2 linked regions of the Kluyveromyces lactis genome follow. The protein of the gene in region 2 binds, or shares a complex with, the protein of the main gene of each other region. Links are inferred from orthologs where the notes say so. Each region holds a gene or a part of one and is shown on either strand. Other genes may lie near its edges.

The links.
Region 1: the proteins of THP1 (region 2) and SUB2 are in contact, whole or in part, in a crystal structure (PDB 8U8C), measured with the Saccharomyces cerevisiae proteins. The link is inferred for Kluyveromyces lactis from reciprocal best matches to the Saccharomyces cerevisiae genes THP1 and SUB2. Residues at the interface, in NP_014569.1 of Saccharomyces cerevisiae: Lys362, Ile408, Asn409, Gly411, Arg414, Ala415, Asn416, Phe418, Leu421, Val425, Val426, Lys427, Arg442, Lys445, Met446; in NP_010199.1 of Saccharomyces cerevisiae: Leu10, Glu11, Tyr12, Ser13, Asp14, Asn15, Glu16, Ile19, Gln20.

Annotation. Positions count from the first base shown.
Region 1 is NC_006041.1:1,954,742-1,965,865, reverse strand, and holds SUB2 (ATP-dependent RNA helicase SUB2), read right to left. Parts: upstream 6,097-11,124; coding exon 4,783-6,096; downstream 1-4,782. Other genes in the region: KLLA0_E22001g (60S ribosomal protein eL13), read right to left, coding at 197-200; RPS16B (40S ribosomal protein uS9), read left to right, coding at 1,350-1,373, 1,953-2,360; FDO1 (Fdo1p), read left to right, coding at 3,080-4,240; KLLA0_E21913g (uncharacterized protein), read right to left, coding at 6,456-7,862; KLLA0_E21891g (uncharacterized protein), read right to left, coding at 10,105-11,124. UniProt on the Saccharomyces cerevisiae protein: ATP-binding RNA helicase component of the TREX complex involved in transcription elongation and required for the export of mRNA out of the nucleus. SUB2 also plays a role in pre-mRNA splicing and spliceosome assembly.
Region 2 is NC_006040.1:312,214-323,429, forward strand, and holds THP1 (Thp1p), read right to left. Parts: upstream 4,995-11,216; coding exon 3,633-4,994; downstream 1-3,632. Other genes in the region: OLA1 (Obg-like ATPase), read left to right, coding at 1-158; KLLA0_D03630g (SCO family protein), read right to left, coding at 448-1,386; type 2A-related serine/threonine-protein phosphatase SIT4, read right to left, coding at 2,030-2,959; YNK1 (nucleoside diphosphate kinase), read left to right, coding at 5,641-6,099; UPF3 (Upf3p), read left to right, coding at 6,512-7,744; KLLA0_D03740g (uncharacterized protein), read left to right, coding at 7,986-8,318; KLLA0_D03751g (uncharacterized protein), read right to left, coding at 8,308-8,871; mRNA splicing protein SMD1, read left to right, coding at 9,503-9,928; U4/U6-U5 snRNP complex subunit PRP38, read right to left, coding at 10,076-10,780; MRPL25 (mitochondrial 54S ribosomal protein mL59), read right to left, coding at 11,081-11,216. UniProt on the Saccharomyces cerevisiae protein: Component of the SAC3-THP1 complex, which functions in transcription-coupled mRNA export from the nucleus to the cytoplasm.

The sequences.
Region 1 (11,124 bases), on a different chromosome or scaffold from region 2:
CGTTTGTCTCCGTAGAAGTTAACCACGCTAATCTCATAAGTTCATCCTATTTCTCAGTTATCTTATATCAAACATATCCCATATTCGTATCGGTATCTGTAATCATCATTTCATTATTTAATTCATAAAACGTATAACCCACGCTAAAATCTCGTCAATTCGGTTGGTGCTCTTTATAACACGTCTATAGACATACCCATTGTTACTTGATCCTTGGTTTACCTTAACGTAGTCTTATGCTAACACAACAGTACCACCTAATACTACTGTTAAATATCTGTATATATATTTCAACTGGTAACGCTTAAAATTTTGAATAATAATAACCATAATTCAATATCGAGATACTAGGAAATTGAAGCCAAACAGAACAGAAACAATTCCCAGTACCGCGAGGCGGGATGGAATGTTGAGACAGCCCCGTACTAAGGGAACAGGATCTTGCGCAGTACAAGGTACGGTGTTGGAGAGACTGGAGCTAGTGCAAGCTAGGCTACTGCTTCCAACCCAGCCTAGGCAAGAAGGTGTCGAGTGGTGGGGAGAAGGGAGAAGAGCGGACAATGTGGCGGGAAGCGTTTCTGCCTGGGACTAGGGAGGATACGCCCGTGACAATAGACTCCTCGATGCGAAACTCTTTTCCTTTTGTTGGATGAGGATCAGATATTTCCTGTTTAGGAAGTAGATATAAAAGTTGAACATAAATAGACCGTGGTGCACAGATGCAACAGTCTCGGTTAATATCGGGACTGTCTCATGAATGTAACACCCAGACATGTGGTGAACAGTGTTGCTATCAGTACTGTTATAAATACAAATTCCCTCATAAGGAAAGACTGACACTCTTATTCGAACGAAACGGGGTCTACGACGAGCTCGGTTCATTTCTCTCTTTCCGAATTCCATTGCTGGCAACAGGCTGGTGGCTCCGCCACTCTAGGCAGGAATCCAGTTCGCAATTCCAGCCTGGAAACTCTATCTCTAGGTGGGGATGGACTGTTCCTAGGCAATTCCTCTTCCACCACAGGTAACCATCCGTAGTAACCTTCGTACCATGGGCGCCGCCAGTTTCACAAGGTCCTCGGACACAACCCAAACACACCGTCTCAGCATAGTGGTGAGCCTCTGGTGTACTCTGAGGCGACCGTGGTTCCCACCTCTCTCTGGCTGAGAGGTTTCTACCCTTGGAAGTTTGTTAGAATTTGAAAATTATCATGGAAAAAGAATTAGAGATTACAATTTGTATGGTACAAGGTAGTTAACAAGTGTATTTCATGTGTATAGTCTTGATTTACTGTTGATTAGGTTGTTATTAGGATATTTAGTTCAGACAAAAGCAAGCAAAGTCGAAGATGTCTACTGTCCCAAGTGTCCAAGTATGTTAAAACAACGAATGAACAAGCGAACGAGCGCGGAACGAACTGAGAATCCCGAATTGAAGAAAACATGATAATGTAACATGAGAGTGAAAAAAATAATGGTTACTAGTACTTTCTGAATGTAATATGAATTGTAGCAACAAGAGCGTGTGTGTTTCAAGTTCTATCGCTAAGCAATGACCGATTTGCTCGTGATAGCATGAACAAATTAAATGTGGATTGAACCTACCATATAATGAGAATCACCGAAGGAAACAGGATGTGGTAAAAAGATACCAGACAAGATTTGATTAAGGGGAATCACCGTAATATACCATTTGTATAATGTGGGCTATCCAAAACCACTCTGACAGAATCATTTCACCACCAGTAACACCAGTAAGGATATTCAGGCTATTTATAACTAAGAAGCAAATGACCTCCAAAGATGTTATCGACGTGTATGAAACGGTTCAAATACCCACCTTTCTGGCATCACCTATGTTTTTAGTCAAGGGCTTTCCCAGTTCCAATGTCATTGGAAAAACGTATTTTACTAACAGTTTTGAAACTATTACCTCATTATTTTTCCTATAGACTTTTGGTAAGAAGAAGTCTGCTACTGCCGTTGCCCACGTTAAGGCCGGTAAGGGTTTGATCAAGGTTAACGGTTCTCCAATCACCTTGGTGCAACCAGAAATCTTGAGATTCAAGGTTTACGAACCATTGTTATTGGTTGGTTTGGACAAGTTCGCCAACATCGACATCAGAGTTAAGGTTACCGGTGGTGGTCACGTCTCTCAAGTCTATGCTATCAGACAAGCTATCGCTAAGGGTTTGGTTGCTTACCACCAAAAGTTCGTCGATGAACAATCCAAGAACGAATTGAAGAAGGCTTTCACTTCTTACGACAGAACCTTGTTGATCGCTGATTCTAGAAGACCAGAACCAAAGAAATTCGGTGGTAGAGGTGCTAGATCTAGATTCCAAAAATCTTACCGTTAATCAGGATCCTATGGAAATCATCATATCAATTTTCTATTGTATCTTATATTATCAACATATATACTACATCTACATACTGTATAGCCTAATATCACGGGTAGAACGTTAATATTTCACCTTACTCGTTCGTTTGCAGTTCATTCATTTCCAGTCATTGAGCAGACATACTGACACGTTACAGTTATTAGGTGCCAATGCCCCACTTCCCATCTACTAACTAGCTAATTACAATGAAAGAGTGTTATGCGCCAATAATTTCTACATATTTGGCGCATTCTCCACGAACAAGAAACGTTCCTGTTGAGCTGCAGGATCTTGACCGTATGTGCGACCATTTGGGCAGATACAGTTTCATTGCGCATGACTCTGTTTGGACTTCGCCCGCTTCACAATTGATCAAACCCGAAGTACTTTTTCCCGAACGTGATTCTTGAAATTTCATAATACGCGTCGTTTCGCGTCAAAGTGCACAATCCTAAAATGATAAAGATTTAAAATACCATCAGGGAATAAAAGGAAATACGGTGTAGCGCGCTATCAAACCAAGTCCAACCTCAGTCGAGTATTAATTACAGCAGCGAGTGTATACATACCAAACATACAAGTTCCCAAAGGCAGGCCTGCTTGCTGAAAAATCGATAATAACAGTAATTCAAGATTGATATCGGGACATAAAGGTTGAGAGCATAGCAATATTTGCGACTAGCACTTCATTTGGGATGACAGAAACTCAATTAAAGACTGAGGGAGAGGTAAATAATGTTCATTCACCGTCCGTGATATTTACGCCTAACGATTTGGAGAGAAAGAGTTCGACCATTTCGAATACTTCGTCAATATCGACGCAGGAGGATTCATTGAACGACCAAGTAAGTTTAGCTATAGAAAATGCTCAGAGAACCTTGAATACCTTAAATGCGTTACAATCTACAGCGGAGATACCTGCTTCGAATCACAAAGGGGATACGGGTTCTGATGATACGAAAAATGGTACCGCAGATGAGAAAGACAAAGATGTAAACAATGACATTATTACCTCATTACGGCATTTAATGACAGCGTTAACCAAATCACAAGAACGGGCCAAACAATTGACGTTGAAGAATATGTTTCTAGTACAAAATCTCAACGAACTTCAGAGCGGGTTCCAAGTGGAACAAAATCTCGCCAAGCAACAATTTGAAAGTATGAAATACAATTTGATGGTACAAAAGACAGACCTACAGAGACAGTTAGAGGGTACTTCGGTCAAGATCACAAAATACAGAGAAACGATCATGTCGAAAAACAAAGAAATCAACAGACTTTCCAGATTATTGAACCAAAGCCAAGTCTATAATCCTCGCCTCTCTAGACCAACTTCCGTGCCATCTGCATCGGTCAGGAAGCCATTTATTTCAAGACAGTTACACTCGTCGGATTCCAACATGTTAAACACATTAGGAATACTTGCTACAAAGGTTCTTAAAGAGGAACAAAATCCGGAAAATGGAAGCATTCATGGGTCGACACTCCAACATTCTCCAATTGAAGACAAGCCAGAGAATCTTGATAATACCGAATCTGACATCTCTCATGATAGTACTCAGCTTGTGAATCATAGCCAGCAGTTTAATAATGGACTTAGTCCCTCAACAGCAAACATGGTGACTCCAGCCGCATCAGTTCCAGCAGCGCAGCATTTACCAAGTCTGAGTACGGTATCAGAGGTGACACCTGATTCACATTTGATTAGGATCAACAGCAGTTCAAATCAGAAAATAGAGCGTCCTGAACTGCCTATATTGCATCTCAATAGGCCATCGCTTCCGAAAGGTGCGGCACTACCAAAATTACGGAGTTTTAATACAGCAGATGGGACTGTAAAGGATGTCTTGTAAGAACATACTCTTTATTTGTTTTTACCCCAGAGTTATTATTCTATTTCTTATTTTCGTCTGCAGGAAGACCAAATGACAATAATAACACATAAAAATAAAAGAAACAGACGTCGTTTCTGCCGAACCACGCCAATGACACGGTTCGACTACAGAAAGCGTAACCTGCTTGTCCAGAAAGGCCCATATGTTTACTTTTCTCACCTGTAAAAGCTGACAAGCGGCTTGATAGACCTTATGTACATCACATAAATCCAGTTTATATTATATTCATGACAGACGTCTCCGCTTTAATTATCTGCAAGGGCATATGAGGAAACACTAATACCTAAACCCGACATACAATGAAGCTTTTTTTCATGAGAATTGAATTGATTTTATACACTTATACTCCAATTATGTTACTTAGTTATAATGGGACTATTGGAAATTCGTTTTAAACTGTATAAAAACCACATTTTATTTGATAATACACATTCCAGCTTGTTTTTGCAATTTTCTAGTTTTGGTAAAAAATTCTGAAGTAAAACGCTATGATGAAATATCTAAGTGTTCAAATAAGTAGATGGATCAACACCTTCTTCTGGGAACTCAGTGATCTTAACATCAAATCTTTCTTGGATCTTGGCCAAGACTTGTTCGTCATCTTCACTAGATATCATGGAGATAGCCAAACCCTTGGTACCGAATCTACCAGCTCTACCAACACGATGCAAGTATTGGTCTGCTTCGTTTGGCATATCATAATTAATGGCCAAGTTAATACGTTCGATATCAATACCTCTACCGAAAACATCAGTGGAAACACAAATACGTTTTTCGAATTCCTTGAAAGCCTTGTAACGAGCAATACGTTCTTCTTGTTTCATGTGACCATGCACAGTGATGGCTGGGAAGTTAGAAGCATTCAATAGTTTGGTCAATTCGTTAGCTCTGACAGTAGACTTGACGAAAATGATAACTTGGTTGAATTCCAAATCGTCCAACAATTGAGCCAACTTACGGTTCTTTTCCTTTTCATTCAATTTGATATAGTATTGTTGCAAACCGTGTAGAGTCAACTTGGCTTCGTCATCGACAAAGATTTCTAATGGATTTTGAAGGAATCTTCTACAGATTGGTCTGATTTCTTGGGATAGAGTTGCGGAAAACATCATAACTTGCTTATCTCTTGGGGTGGCTCTAAAAATATCTTGAACATCTCTTCTCATATCCAATTCTTCCAAGACCTTGTCACATTCATCAATGACAAAGTTCTTGACGTGAGATAGATCGATATGCTTGTCTCTAACCAAAGCCTTTAAACGACCAGGAGTGGCTACAATGATATGAGGGACGGTTTCCTTCTTGGATAGCAAATCAATATCGTTCTTATATTCAGTACCACCGTAAAATACAGCAGTCTTAACGTCTGGCATGTATTTGGAGAATCTCAAGTATTCGTTTCTAATTTGGTAAGCCAATTCTCTCGCGTTACATAGCACGACGACACTGACTTCACCTTGAACTGGATCCAATTGTTGCAAAGTAGACAACACGAACACAGCAGTCTTACCTAGACCAGACTTAGCTTGACATAAGACGTCAGTACCATGAATGGATTGAGGAATGGTATGTTGTTGCACTTCAGAAGGATGTTCAAAACCACAGTCAATGATAGCTCTGGACAATTCTGGCTTCAACAAGAAATCCTTGAAACCAGTGGAGTGAATACCAACATAAGAACCTTTCTTATCAGAATCCTTTGCTTGGCTCTCACCGTTACCCTCGGCATTCACTTCAGTGGCCTTGTTGTCAACTTGAACTTCTTGTTCGTTATCGGAATACTCCAATAAATCCTCTTCTGCTTCGTGAGACATTGTTTCGGTTGGGTCTTCTTCCTTGTGGTTGACAATACCAAGTTGCTTCTCAACAAGTTCTATCCTTAGATTAAACACGTATAAATCCTTAATTCAATTAACAACCGTCAGAGCACAACACGCACCTTTTCTTCATAATCTATGCCAAATTATTGTTTTGAAATTCTCTTACCTTTCGCTGTTTTTTTCTTACGTTCTCATTTCGTCGTTAAAACAGATATATTTCACTGTCGTCAGGAGTGATACCACGTACTACATGTAAGCAGTCAATTTTGCCACTGAGAAGTGACATTGGTTGATCACGTGAAATAATGCGGGTAATCTAGAACCCAATTAAATGCAGAAATGACAATAACAAGTCACGTGAGTTCAACAGCGCAAGTAGATAATGACTCTTCAAGTAAGCGCGCTTGATTGAAAATGTTGCAAAGAGTGACACGGGCATCAGGATCATGTATTTCTCTATACAACCGCGACTCATTCTCAGATATAGTTCGAATTAATTGCCGTATAGCGTCCCTTTGAGTGCGCGAATTATTGATGGCAACGGCTGGTAACGGCGTTGCGTTGGTGATTATTTCCTTAAGCATGACAGACACAGAGGTAAAGTTAACCATATCTTTGGTAGCCACCGCTGAATTCGAATCTTGTGTGATTTTCTCAAAAGTGACCGCAATATTATTATCCTTGTTTAAACAATTCGTGAGTAGGTCATTTCCCCAGGGAACCGTATACAATTTACCGTTTAGCTTGTGCGTTTTGACTAATTCTAGACATTGTGACCAGTCCCAATGTTCCGTCTGTGTTAACCCTTCCAAAACGACTAGGTCCGTAGAGTTAGCGTCTATACGTTTCAAAATGGAATTTAGATCTTGTAAGAATTGTTCCTTTGCTTCTTCAGGAGAGATGGGACTTAACTCCCTTGTAATTGGTTCACATAGCAAAGATATTGTCACATCTTTCTCTGTGCCAGCATTTACCTGCTGAATCTTCACTTTTAATGCAAAAAATATCATCTTATTGGCTTCGTTTGAGCCATGTGGAACGTATTTACAGATGTAGTAAAACTGATGGCATCTTTTTAATTTGGATTGCAAGCACCGAAGGAATAAATCATGCAATTGACTAAACTTGTTTTTCCATTGCCTAAAATCTTTAAATTTAGCGTTCAATACCCCCTCGCCCGTCATACCATATACCGTTTCTTCCCCATGTCGTCTTATGAAACCAGTGATCCATTTATTTCCCAAGTGTACCGCCCTTGTTGTGCTGGGTATGCACTCTCTTAAATCTGAGATCAATGGCAGATTACCATAAGCTAATACATAACCCTGCATATTTCGCACCATGTCGGATTCTGCTTCCGGGCTGAATCTCATTTGAGATAAGTGAGAATACGTTCTCGTTGTCTGATTTCTTAACTGCATTTGTAAATCGTGTTCATTATTTTCATCAGAGATTTCATCACTCTGGCCTCCAGCGGCGTTTGCCTTAGTTATCGTTCTTTGCCTCTTTTGTCCTTGATCTGCCTTCATCCTATCGTATAGCGTACTCTTAGGTATTTGAAAATGGAGTGCAATCTGTCTGATTGTGGGCTTTCGTTTTTTACCATATTTACTAGGTTTCAACACGTCCTTCTTGGGCTTAATATCATGCTCTGAATTATCAGTCCCTTCTTTACTATGTTGTTCCCGAATAAAATCCAACGCCAGCCTGATTCGCTCTTCTTTACCTTCCGGTAGGTCTTTTTCCAATAGAGTTTCCATTATATTACTGGAAGTTGTAGATCTTATCTTCTGCCCAATTTGCAACCTTATTTCGTGCGAATCACTTTCCAGTCCTCGTTAGCGCCGTCTGCTCACTACCTATAACGAGATCTAGCTTTATCTTGGAGTATCTGATTTAATAGAGAAAATACAAGCAGTGACGTGAGTAAAAAGCGTTGTTCAATGAAGCACAGTTTGGAATCAAGTTTGTCAATAAATCTCCTCCACAGTAAAGTGGAAATATGCAACAAAATATTACCTTTAGAGAATTGTTCACACTGATTCATTCTCATCACAGTAAGACGAGTTCTTATTTTCAAGAATAAGAACGAAACGGACTATCTTTACTTTTTCACAGGTGTCTTACTGTGAATGAAAACAAAGACGTCAAAAGTGTTTGTCCGACAAAATCATCAGTTCATTTGTGCTATAATTTCGATATGCTGAGAGAGGAACGCAGGTGTCACCATGGTTTCCTTCACCGGACACTATATCACGTGACCAATTTTCTGCTCAATTCCATGATTAGTACAGGAATTGAGTTATGTCATTCCGTCAAAACAGGTACATCAATGTACCTGTATCAATTACAGTTTTTGTAAAGTTATTTCTATTCGTTTCAAGGTTTCTGGTGTTAGGTTGCTTGGGATTGCATTTGGATATTGCCAAATATGAGAAAGACATTTGTAGTGCAAACCTGAACACAGAACCGCTGACATAATGCTTTCAGTTGAAAACGGTTACCTTCAGATGTGTGTGCACTGACACGGAAGAGGAGTTGTTTCTACTTCAAAACGGTATGAAGTTAACTTTTACAACGGAGAAAATTTCCGAAAAAAAAAAAATACTACGCGATAATTATGCACAGAACGAAAAACACGCGTCACTTGCATAAGAACGATCGATTTTCTCAAATCAAATTTGAGTAAAACGATTGCATTCAACTAAGAGAATGTAGACTAGCAACCAAACTTATATAAGTGTTAGACAGCTAATACTTGCAGCTTTGGAACAGGAAGAGTTGCGTTTTGTTTCTGTTCTTTTTTTAGAAAGAATACAGATGTCTGAACAAACACGATAGGCTAACAGTAAAAACTTGTTCCTGCTATAAGGTTTGCTTTGCAAAAGTTTCCATAATAGCAAAAACCGAAGATCATGCAATTTCTTCAAAAATTTGAGTTAGAATAGGATGGTATAATGTACTCCCTTTATCATTTATAAATGATCCAATGAAAACTCATGGATGGAGAACTCTGCGTGTAATACTAATAGTAAACATGTTTTTGCCATGGTCCTCTTTGTTATCTGTGTTGATGCTAATTTGATGCAAGATAATGGCTAATTTGAAAAAATCCATTCCTTAATAGCAAGAATTCAAATGTCTTGTGTCGTCTGATGTTTGTGAGTGAAAAAACACCTAAAAGCCACAACGACAAATCGAGACGACTCCGCATATTATGCGAATTAAATGAACAGGTAAAGGCTTACGGCCGAAAATTTGCCCAATCTTACTGATTAAAACAAATAGATTTTTTGCATTGTAAACTTCTCACAATGACCTTGCCTTTTGAGGAAATAGAATAGTCTGATAAAGTGATCAAAAGAACAAGACGAGCAGGTAGTAAATTGAATAGGAGGAAATCTTATATTATTTGTGTTAGATTGTCAGAGGAAATTAAAGTGTAACTGATTCACCTTCCTATCACTTTCTGAAGTATCTTACCATATTATCACTCTTTCAGGAAACTGACGCTTCTTTGCCGTCAAACTTTAAATTTCTTTTTATTCCTCGCCACAAAGATGCACATATTTTTAACGGTAATGTTGACACAATACCGAAAGTACAAAAAAACAAATCCCTAAATTTATGATATAGAAGGTACTATAATATTTCATCTATTACTATCGGAAGGAAGTTACTCAAAAAGCTTAAAGCAAACCCTTTGCATCATGGACCGTCAATTTTTTCTTTTTAATGAACAGTGCTACAACAGGACATATATATTTTCTTGGCATGGTGACAAATAGCATAAAAGCGGTGGAAAGGATATTTATTTTATTTATCAAATTAATTAATGGGTGATGTTTATGTAAATTGAATGAATATTAATGTTAAATGACTGAAACCCGATCAGTAATCAATCTTGTCTCCTCAGCGTAGATGGATAAGACAATGGGAGCAAGAAAAAAGAAAAAATTAGGATGTGATTGATCAGAAATCAGACGTTAACCACTTCAGATTTCATACCGATGAGTCTCTACCTAGGAAGTAAACTTTAGCCCAGTCCATAGCGACCAAGATTCTGTTTCTGAAGGAGAGACACATCCCTAGGTAAGCAGACTTCCAGAATAAGAAGGTGAAAGAACCGGCCATTTGATATTTGGATTCACCGACAGCAACGTCAGCAATGGCTTGTTCTGAACCAATGTAAGCAAGGGTACCTTGGTGGTTGTATTTGAAAGGTTTTTGTTGTTTCACAATTCTGTCCAACTTGGAGTGCAATTTAGAAGTTTCAGTGGCATTAGTAGTTTTCGAGATTTCCCATTTCAATTGATCAATCTTGTATTGTTGTTTCAAAGTTTCAGTCAAGTATTCAGCTTCTTGATGTGCCACTTGAGCTGTTGGGAAAAGACCTGGGAAGAAAGTACAGTCACCAATGGCCCAAATGGAGTCTTCAGCGCCTAATAGTTGCATCTTGTCATTGATCAATAAACCACGTCTGGAATTTTGTTGTTCCAATTTAGCCATCAAGTTCTTGGAAACTTCTCTTGGAGCGTTACCAGTAGCCCAAACCAACAAACCGTATGGGATATCTTCAGTTGCATCACCACATTGGGCAGTGATGGTAGTAGAGTTGACGTTCTTAACCATAGTCTTTAACTTGACATCGATTTTTTCCATGGCGAACAAGTCTTGGGCGTATTGCCATAGAGACTTATCAAACATATTCAAGATATTTGGTAAAGCTTCGACCAAAGTAACCTTAATTTCCTTGGAGATTTCAGGGATCCATTTAGACAAATCTTGGTCAACGTAATCTTGCAATTCAGCAGCAAATTCAACACCGGTTGGACCACCACCAACAACAACGAAACTCAACAATCTCTTGCGTTCAGGGTCGTTAGCAGACAAAGTAGCAGCCTTTTCAATGTTATTCATGATTTTAGTTCTAATATCTTGAGCGTCCGGAATTTCCTTCAAGAAGGAGGCGTTTTCGAAGACACCTGGGATACCGAAGGTAGTTGGTTGAGCACCAACACC
Region 2 (11,216 bases):
CTTTCATCTTAGCTCAAGTTATGAAATACGAAGATGTGGTCGAATACAAAGATGACAATGCCATTAAGGCCGCAGGTAAATTGCAACAGAAGGGTAAGGAATACGTTGTTGAAGACGGTGATATCATCTACTTCAGAGCCGGTGCCGGTAAGAATTGAGAGAACATCACAATTATAGGACCCGTCATATTACAAGGGTTGACATTGCTTGCATATTGCTCACGAACAATGAGGCCCCCACTTCTCTTTTTTAGTTGTTAATTTCAGTCCATAATTCTCATATATAAATTTCATGCCTCATCGTTATATGGCTAACGTAACGTCCGTAATTCAAGAATGAAAATACCCTACTGAAAACGTATATTTGATGTGTTAATGTTAAATACTGAGCTTACATGAAGTTGCGAAACACGCTTTATTTATTTACAAGAAAGCAAGATAAATGTGTTTAAAACAAGAAGGAATACCATTTGTCCTTTCTCTTTTCACGTTCTTCCTTTGGAACATAAGCAGATACATGTTCGACGATTTTTTCAACACCAGTCTGTTCGTCATAGTTTCTACCTAGGGCATCAATGAATTGACCTTCTGGGTCCATCAAGTAGAAGAAAATGGAATGATCAACTAAATAATCCTGGCCAGGTTTGACGTTTGGTGGAGTAGAGAAATAGACTCTGTATTTTTTGCAAGCATTCTTCACGGCATCATAGTCACCAGTTAAACCGATAATGTCAGGGTGGAACTCGCTTAGGTATTCTTTCAAGACTTCTGGTGGATCTCTAGCCGGGTCACAAGTAATGAAAACAGGTTGCAAATTGATGTCACGCTTCTTTAACTCAGTTAACCATGCTCCTAACTTATCTAACTCATCTGGACAAATATCTGGACAATGACTGAAACCAAAATAGATGATAGAGAACTTGCCTAGCAAGTCTTTCTCTGTAAATGGATTCCCATTAAAATCAATCAAACTAAAGGGACCTCCGACCAATGGCCTACCGTAACCTCTGTTAGCTTCCGCCTCCTTCTCGGTCTCTAATCTTTGCTTCTCATTTTTAAAGAAATAGTACACCCCGCCTCCGATAAGAATGAACAAAGCTGCTGCTTTCCAGGTAGTAAATTCGATGGTAGAACCTGTATCAACTTTTTGGGTATGAGTTTCAGCACCGCCAATGGGTATCCTACTTAATGGCTTCTTCTTAGGTTTTGGACTACCTACTGCAGGGGCAGGGTCATATTTCTTAATCTCTTGTAACTTGGTTGCAGATACGGATAACGATCTGTAATGATTCATAAAATGGGCCAAGGTAGTTTTCCTTAGCACTGGTCTCATTGCTTCTTTAGAAGCAAAAGTAATACTAGGGACGCGAACAATGCTGCGTAACATTACAATTTATAGTTGATACTGTATTAGCAATCCTTGTTATTGTTAAACCGTTTATTCCCGATGTGAGTAACCAAAATGCTGCGTTTTGTTGGTATCACATCATTTATGAAAGTTATAAGTGCAATCATATGGCTACATTTTTTGTATAAAATGCTCTTGAAATTTTAAATATTTCAATGCAGCTTTGGAGCTGAAGAGATACTGGTAAGAAAAAAAAAAACCTATTCTACACACGATATTCTATATATGATTCCATATCAAATTGAATATATTCGATGATCTAGTTTGGATTAGATCAGGACTCTGTGAAGCCTCGTGAAAGACATAATGGCAGTTTAAACGTTATCATTAATACATATATCTATATATATTACCGGGTTTTAGACTATTTAAGTTTCAGGGGGGTTGGTTTCTCAGTAATGATTTCAACCCATTAAAAATTACGTTGTTTATAGTCCACTTTCCAATTAAATCCTAATTCCTGATGGATATCTTTGAATTCGTAAAAGTTAGGTAAATGTTTGATTTCTAGTGTACAGTATATTAAGAAGGAATTCTCAAATAGAAGGAGAAAAAGAATGTTTAGTCCGATGTAAGTTCGCATAGAAGATTATACAGACAAAAAGGCCGCTGCAATGTCGCTCTATAAGAAATATCCACCTCTTTGGTTATTATTGTTTGTTTCTTGGATGTAATCGTCAGGTACAGCGGAAAAAATTTTGAATGTTGGATCTAAATCATCTTCGACTTTCATGACACTCGCCACATTACCACATCGATAACAATAATTAGGTGCAGACCATACCGTTACAACATCCTTCTCCGGAAAATGGTATTTGAATCCTTCCATAACTAGCTGGTGAGCTCTTGCGATTAGGCTTAGGCCATTCACATGATTAAATTCTCGTGAGACTTTGCTACCGAACAACCATCCGGCACCACGAGGTGAGACTTGCCATGCTTCCACGTTGTCGGGGTCACTCCATAACAAATCGGAGAAGCCACCTTCATGAGGAACTTCTTGGGCTCTCGATAGAACTCTGATCTGATCAAGCATTCTAATCTCGGGAGACAAACCACCATGCACACATAAAATTTTCCCGTCAATAATAGCTGCCAAAGTTAAGAAATCAAACACTTGACAACAATACTTCCAAACCGTTGTGGAACCATACTTATTTAAACATTCCTCATAAAACCCATAAACTTGTGTAATTTGCCTCGACTCATGATTTCCTCTAACCAAAGTAATTCTGGAAGGATATTTCACTTTCAAACACATAAGAAGTGTGAACGTCTCCAAACTGTAATAACCACGATCTACATAGTCACCAAGAAAAATATAGTTTACTTGATCAGGAAACCCACCAGCAGTTCTGAATAGTTCTAAAAGGTCATGAAATTGTCCGTGAATATCACCACAAACAGTCACCGGCGATTGAACCGGCTGAATATTCGATTCTTCCATTAAGAGTTCCTTCATCATCTCGCATAGCTGTTTCATCTCAGACTCCGTCAAAGCCTGACATTTCTTGATCTTCTCAAGCCACAAATCTGGCCCATTATCTGACATTGTGATATTTTAGCACTCCGGAGACAAAACGCTCTATAGATAGATGAACTTATGCAATGGCAAATTAACCTTTACAAGGGAAGATAAAGTTCAAAGGTCAATAAAAAAAATAATAATTATAATAAAACCCAGTCCTTACCTGTGAAAAAATTGGGATAAATTCCTTCTGAATTTCTTGTAAAGTGATTATGATTAGCGTTCTTGTAAATAAAAACCACAACAAGCTTAAAACCTGTGTTTGGAAGTATTTCTTGCACCTTTTCTTTTCAACAAGAAACACTCACTCACTATAGGAAAATTCAATAGCTCAAACAAAGAACAGCCCTATATCACTACTCTTTGTTGATGGCTAAAAGCTTGTTAACAAAGTAGTTAGCTATAAGGATGTTTCCTTCTCTCTTTGTTTTCTGTTGTAATCATCAGTCCTTTTACAAAAATAATGGAAACTTCAACAAAATTTCAACTTCTCTTCAATTTCTTACTTTTTTTTGCAGAATGTGACCTGGAAGACAAACAGATATATGTGAGAGCATTCTTATATCTATATAGACATGTCTGTAAAAATTGAGTCTTCCAAAAGTGTTTCACGACTGGGTATGATAGTGGGACCCGAATCAGGTTAGGAGGGGCTGTGTCATCTATTTTTACATACTATATGTATATTATCTATCATTTACTTATCGAGCCAGGAATCTTCCTGGTTCAACGAAAATCTAGAGACGATCTTTTCATTGATATTAGGGAAGATTACTGAGATATCGTTAGTCTTCATCGTAACGCACACTTGCAGGCTTGGAAACACATTTCCCTTCCACAATTGTTGAATTGAAAGTGTGACAAGGATATTTTCAAGTGATTCTGCGGTGTAATTGTCTTTATATATCGATGGCATTTCAGGTGGATATAAACCGATGGATTTTGCTAGAATTGGTCTTATCACAGAGTATGGTAGTTTATTTGAATTGCGCGGTATACAGTAGTATAGGAAAATAGATCGCAAAAGGGATCTGAACGTTATAATGGGTAGCTTTTCCAATAGAACAATCAACAATTTAGATGATTTCAGCCACGATTCGTTCTCGTAAAGCCAGAAGTTTACTCTGTTCAAGTTTCCGTTTTTAACGGCAATCACAAGAGCTGTGTATTTCTGTGCTAGGATAGGGTCCCATTGAGATAACTTGTTGAAATCTGGCAACTTGCTGATAATGATACCACATGGAACTAAAAACTTCAACAATCTTCTCCTGTTGTTCTGTTTCGCAATAGAGTCGGGTAATGTGGCTAGGAGTTCGTAACATTGGTTCAACTGATGGAAAGCATTAACCATTCTATGGTTTAATAGGTAATATCTCCCCAAGTAATACCTATACTGGATTCTCTCTGTCAACGGGTATTGGTTGAACGAATAGATATTAGACTTTGGTTTCAAATTCTTGAAGATGTTAGCGCACGAAGATGGGGAGTTAATCTTGAAATAAATCATGTTCAATTTGTTTGAAATATAAAGCAAGACCTTCTGTTTCCCTGACAAATGATCAAATTCGACCTTATCATCATCGACCCTGGCTTTAATGCTATTGAACAATTTGGAAATGATGGAAGCAATATGGGTCAGAAACTGATGCTGTCTTGTACCAATGATCTTATGGTTAGCATCCAATCTAATAGCCATTGGAATGACCAATTCTGTTGTAGCTGTAAACAGTGGTACCAAAGAATCAATAGGGTACATTGTTGTCTCGTTTGTGAGACATGTATTCAAATCCTGGTAATATTGGAACACAGAGAAGGACGATTCCCATAATGAATATGGATTCAGTTCTTTACAGTACCCAAGAAATGAACTTACCAAATTATTAAACCTGGTCCATCTGTTCTCATAAAGAGAATGTGAATTTATCAGGGTCTCAAGGTCAATGCTGTCATTGGATCTCAAAAACTGTTGCAATTCAAGAATTAATTGTCCATTTCTTTCGATGTTTATATCCAATACACTAAAATCACCTGCCTTTAGAGCCCCAAAGAAATGGTCCATAACCAAAAACCACAAAGGAAAATCCACTGGCGCTTTTCAATTCAAAGTTTGTCCTATAAAGGTGATCTGAGTCAAATGTCAACCAGAAGTTTTTCTGATTTGTCTGATTCTAACCTTAATATTAGATGAGCCAGGTACAATGTTTCAAGAGACCATGATTTCCGTTTGTTGATTTTTCTTGTCACGTGATCGATAAAGTCACTTGAAGACTTGCCTCGACATATATCCATAAACACTCTTTGGGGTTTACATACAGTGTTTCGCCTAATCCCAACCTCCGAATGCGCTTGCTAACGATATGGACACCTTTCTGCTATTGTGTATGATGAACCATACTTTTACAGCTTCCTCAGTAAGAAGCCCCAAACATCAACTAATCAAAGTCACGTGCCGGAAAAATTTTCTCTCATTTTCGATTTTCCCCGGCATTTCTTCGTCTGCACCAATCTCATCGAGCATGAATCGGATCCTCATTCGTTGGCTCTCTCGAGAAATATTTCAATTTCGTTGATTTCAATTTGCAGTAACTTTCTTCTTTCCATGCACTTTATTTCAACTTCTGGGGTTAGCGATTGCTTATGTTCCATTGATTCTTAGTTCATAGCAGGATCGTACACAGAATCACGTATTAACTAACTCGAGAAAAATGTCTAACACTGAAAGAACTTTCATTGCTATCAAGCCAGATGGTGTTCAAAGAGGTTTGATCTCTAAGATCTTAGCTCGTTTTGAAGACAGAGGTTACAAATTGGTTGGTATTAAGTTGGTTACTCCAACCGAAGCTTTGTTGAAGGAGCACTACGCTGACTTGGTTTCCAAGCCATTCTTCCCATCTCTATTGTCTTACATGACTTCTGGTCCAGTTTTAGCTACTGTCTGGGAAGGTAAGGATGTTGTTAAGCAAGGTCGTGCTATCTTGGGTGCTACCAACCCATTGCAATCTGCTCCAGGTACCATCAGAGGTGACTTTGCCATTGAAGTTGGTAGAAATGTCTGTCACGGTTCTGACTCTGTTGAATCTGCTGAAAAGGAAATCGGCTTGTGGTTCAAGAAGGAAGAACTTATTGACTACAAGTTGAACCAATTGTCTTGGATCTACGAATAAATGTAACGTTGACAAATTGTTCACTTTATCAATACATATTCTTTCCCACAATTATTCCATATTTAAAGATGTCTTTTCTTATATGATGTGTATCTGTGTGTCGGTATTTATTACTATGTAGATATATCTCAAATACACACATTTTGAAATCCATTAAGCTTTATACTGCGATGTTGTATTCATATTTGTAACCCCGACTTGCGTTGGGTATATTCACGTTTCTACCAGCTTACTGATACGATTACGGTTCAATTTGCATTTATGTTTGTCATAGTATTATTTTACTTAATTGCACTAAAAAATTTCAGTTAGCACATCTGTTCTTCATCACAAATGCATCCCTAACGAAAACATGAGCTGTTATCACAATACCTCAGACAAGATCCTTCAGTAAAACTGCGTTCTTTCACGAATGCTCTCTAAGAAAAGAAATAGAAGGAGGTACCGGAAGAGGAGTGCTGACTCTTCCCGTGAATTCAAATTATGTATTCGATCTTTACCACCAAATTTAACAGAAGAGCAATTCATCAGCACTTTACAAGAGAACAACATCGATGTGCATTCATTTCAAAAATCATTCTACTACGTGCAAGGTCATTACTCCAGCAAGGTGTTCAAGAAACAGACTTTGTCTAGGGCATATATCCAATTGGACTCCTTCGAAACCATTCAATCGTTGTCAAAAACAATAAGAACATGCAGATTCATAGATGATTTGGATAACTCGATGATTCCAGATTTACAAATCTCGCCGTTCGTTAAGAAGTGGGTCAGTCCCAACGAGGTTAATCCTATTCAAGGCACGATTCAAAAGGACCATGTCTTTCAAACCTTTGTCAAATCATGGAAATTGATTAATGAAGATGAAACCAACTCATTACAGTTCAAGAATTTAAGTGTTATTGCACCTTTAAGAAAGGAATTAGAACGTGAAGAAAAAATGGAAGAAGAGTTAAACGGACGTAAGCAAAGAGCACTAATAGAATTGGCTGGTGATCCAACAAGCGAAGAAAAGAAGAAGAGGATCAAAAAGATTAAGAAAAAGTTAAGACTATTAGAGAAGAAGAGGAAGCTGAAACGTGCTAAGGCAAAGAACAAGGATAATCCGGACGAGAAAGATGTTTCTAAGGATAAATCAGAAGTTGAGAAGCCCAAAAAGTCTAAATCCAAACACAAATCCAAATCCAAATCTAAACCTAAATCGAAATCTGAACCGAAATCATCGAAATTTGACACTGCGACAACTGAGAAGAGTGCGGTAACATCCGAAGAAAAGCCAAAGAAGAAGATTTTGTTGAAACCAAAGAAAGATGATGTTCCCAAACCAGAGATGCCTGCAGATTCGGAGGTAACGAAGAGAGCAAGACGTAAAAAATCAAAGAAACATAAAGACAAAGACAAGGATGTAAAGAAGGATTTAACAAGCAAAGAAACAAAGGAAACTCCCTCTAAAGTTACTCCTAAGGTAAAAATAAAGTCTAAATCTGCCAATGTGGAGGAAATGAAATCGGAGAAGCGTAAGCAGGAAAACACTAAGCCAGAAAAAAATCCATCAAGTGAATCAGATAAGAAAGCTAAATCAAAGAGAAAAAGTAGAAAAGGAAGGCAGTCTGATGGACCTAAACACAAAGACAAACCAACTTAATATGCAGACATCGCACCAATGGATGGCATCTCGATATTTTGGCTTAGTTCTCTTTTACGTGCCCTTTCATTTATTCAAATGTGCAGAATATTATTTCTGATCTCTGACACTTGATATTTAAAGGGAGTGTGACAGGACTTTTTAATATTAGCAGCTTTGTGGACTAACAACAAATTCATTTTGCAAACTCAACTAAGGATTATTACACACGCATATCACTCGCCATAATTTTCATCGATCGATGGTGAATATTAGAACTACAGAATTAGAAGGAGATTTAGCACAGTTGACCTATGAACTTGGGTTGAAGGATAAGGAAGTCATGACTTTAAAGCAAAGTCTGGAACGCCTCAATGCTGAAGTCGAGAAGCTAAGAAACGAGAACAGAGGCTTGAAAAGCGAATTGGAACATTGGAATAAACTACCGATGAGTCCAATATCTTTGTCTTCAGAAAACGATCAAACTGAGGACGATAAAAACCGAATGATTCAAGAGAATTTGCGGAGAGAGATTCTTTCCTTGAAGAATGAAAGTAATATTTTATCAGAATGGATCAAGACCCTTATTTCTTGAATTTCTTCAAATAAATATTCTGAGCCGTACCCAGAATTGCGTATGCCAAACTAAAAAATACGGACCATTTATCTGGTGAAATGTATCTTTGAGCAATTGACATCAATACCGTTGATGTTGCCAAGCTGGAAGACAACATTGCCGCATATCTTGTCTTGATTGCGTGTATAATTTTTGTTTTGTCAACCTTACCGTTGTTAACAGAAGTCAAGGTAAATAGTAACCCTAACACTTGAATAGGCGATACCATGCCTAATGAGCAGCCTAACTGGACCAAGCTTCTATATTTGGATACCACTTTCCTAATTGTGTATTCGTTTATCCATTTGTAACTGAAATGATTAACTGGTGCGTTAAATAGACCACCATATAGACTCATCAATGCCACTTTGATCCAATTTAGCTTCTCTTTTCTTTCCTCTGGAGACAGACTAACCCATTGACTGAACAGTTCGCTTAACCCAGTTAATACCGCGCCTGTTATGCATTTAGTTAATAACGGGTTACGTTTGAGTAAAATATTATATCTCTTCAAGATTACTGATGACGACATGTTTACTCTTGGCGTTAATCTTTAATACTCCCAATCTCTCGATGCGAGCAGCAGTAACCTTGAAAGCTTGCGATCCATGAGATATGAAAAGAGTAATATCTGACTTTAACATCTATATATATATATATATATATATATCCAGATTTTATCAAAGCAATGACTGACAGAACGTTTTGTTATCGCTTGCATGGATAGTTTCTTATCGCACTTCTCCGTGTATCTGTTAACCATTTAACATGAGATGCAACGGATCTAAATACTTTTTGGGTTCCATGTAAGATTCGAACACATGCTCGCTCGAATGTAAGAAACCATTGGAATCTCACGCAAATGAGTTACCCTGTTAAGGCACGTGATAATATGAAATTTCCACTCTTTTCCAGGAAAGAACGACCCCATTGATTCTTGAGTATCAATTTGAACCATTTCATCCATCATTATGTAGAATATGTCAATTGAGTAACTACGATCAAATCCTGATCTTTTATCAAAATCAGGAAGTTGCTTGTGGATCATCTGTTACTTTTGCAAAATTCAAAACTCTTTTTCATCAAAACCATTTGAAACTGGTAACAGCTTTCTGGTGTATCTTTAGTCCGATTGAAACAACGAAGTTTTATATACAGACAAAATGCAGTTAACAGGGTTCTTAAAGAAACTAAAGAATGAAAGGGTGTCTATAGAGTTGAAGAATGGTACCACTGTTTGGGGAATAGTGAGGAGTGTGTCACCGCAGATGAACGTCTCTCTTACTGACGTCAGGCTGACACTCCCTACTAAGACCTCAGAAGCTACCTTGGCTGCCGTCTTATTGTCAGGTGGATCGACACAAGGACAAGAATCTAAGAGAACAACTAGCCTCGAGTTCATCAACATTAGGGGTAATACGATAAGGCAGATTATTTTACCAGATAGTATCAATTTGGATGCGTTGCTTGTAGACCAACAGGAAGTCAACAGGTTGAGGAAACAAGGTAAAGTGGGAAGTGATCCGAATAAGAAGAGATCACTTGAGAGTAACGGGAATGCTCCTAAACGTCCAAAGAGGGCATTTTAATATACATCAGAAAACATATGTGGAAATAAATATGTAGTGATGTTATGGACTTTGTTTTGATGAATGATTAAACACTATTGATAATTATCTTTCATAATGAATAGCCGTTCTTTCCAGTCGATGCCTCCAAAAAAAGAAAGAATGGAATCAAATTTGATCACTGTCATCTCTTGGATCAGAGCTGGAGTCCGAGTCGCTTGAGCTCTCATCGTCCTCTTCATCGTCCCATATTTTACACCAATTGCATTTTCCTAAGGGGATGCCCCAAATTTCATTCCTGTCGCATAACCAGTCTATCAACTCATCGAAATGTATCAATTTAATCTCTTTTTTAATCGATGATGACCAACAATCCATATCTAACGAGTAACTTTTTAATTTTCTATGATCAAGTATATATTTCTTCATTAAATCATGTAATAAATTGAACGATATATCTTGCTCGGAAGGATTACTCTCAGTTAAGAAATAATACGAGATTCTCATATAACATAATACCAGTGCTGCAATATACTTGTTGTTTAAGGGTTCATGCGGTTCTAGTAATACTTTTAGTTGTTCCCACGGAGGTCGCAGGTTGATCAATTTCATCAATAGACATTTGAACTCTATACCACCTAAGACAGTCACATGCGGGGTTTTCCGCTCATCCATAGTCCCGAAATCTCTCACAATAACAGGTATAAGTTCGACAATGGTATCTCCCCTCAAACTTGCGGGCGTTAAATTAAATTTATAATACATGCATGACGATACCTTATTTCTAAATATTTGAGGAACTACCAAAGACGCTGATTGGTGATTCAATTGCTTTCCAGACAAGTTCTCCTCCACGTAGAATTCGTTAGGCATTGTGTGTGTTATGAATAATACTAAACTGTGTCGAAGACAGTAGCAGCTGAGCTCTTTTGTTCTTTATATTTGATATCTGCCCTCTATCAAATTGGTTTCTCATTCATAATGATTTATAGTTCTTGGTGATATATATAATATTTATATATATTTGCAGAGCAATTTGATCTAGATAAGCAATATACATGCATGGTGACTAAATATTTACAGGTGAAAAGAACAACCCATGTTGGTCTTAGGTGTGTTTAGGATATGCGTGATGGGGCCAGAGGTAAGGGGGGAGTGAACCTATCAGCACCATTAGAACCAACTTCTGGTATTTTGGTTTTGTTTCTTTTCTAATCTTCTTTTGTACTTGGAACCCTTTGCTTCGAGAATGTATTTATCGGCATTCTTAATAGCCTCCTCCATCTTGGCTACTTTTCCTTCTAGTAGA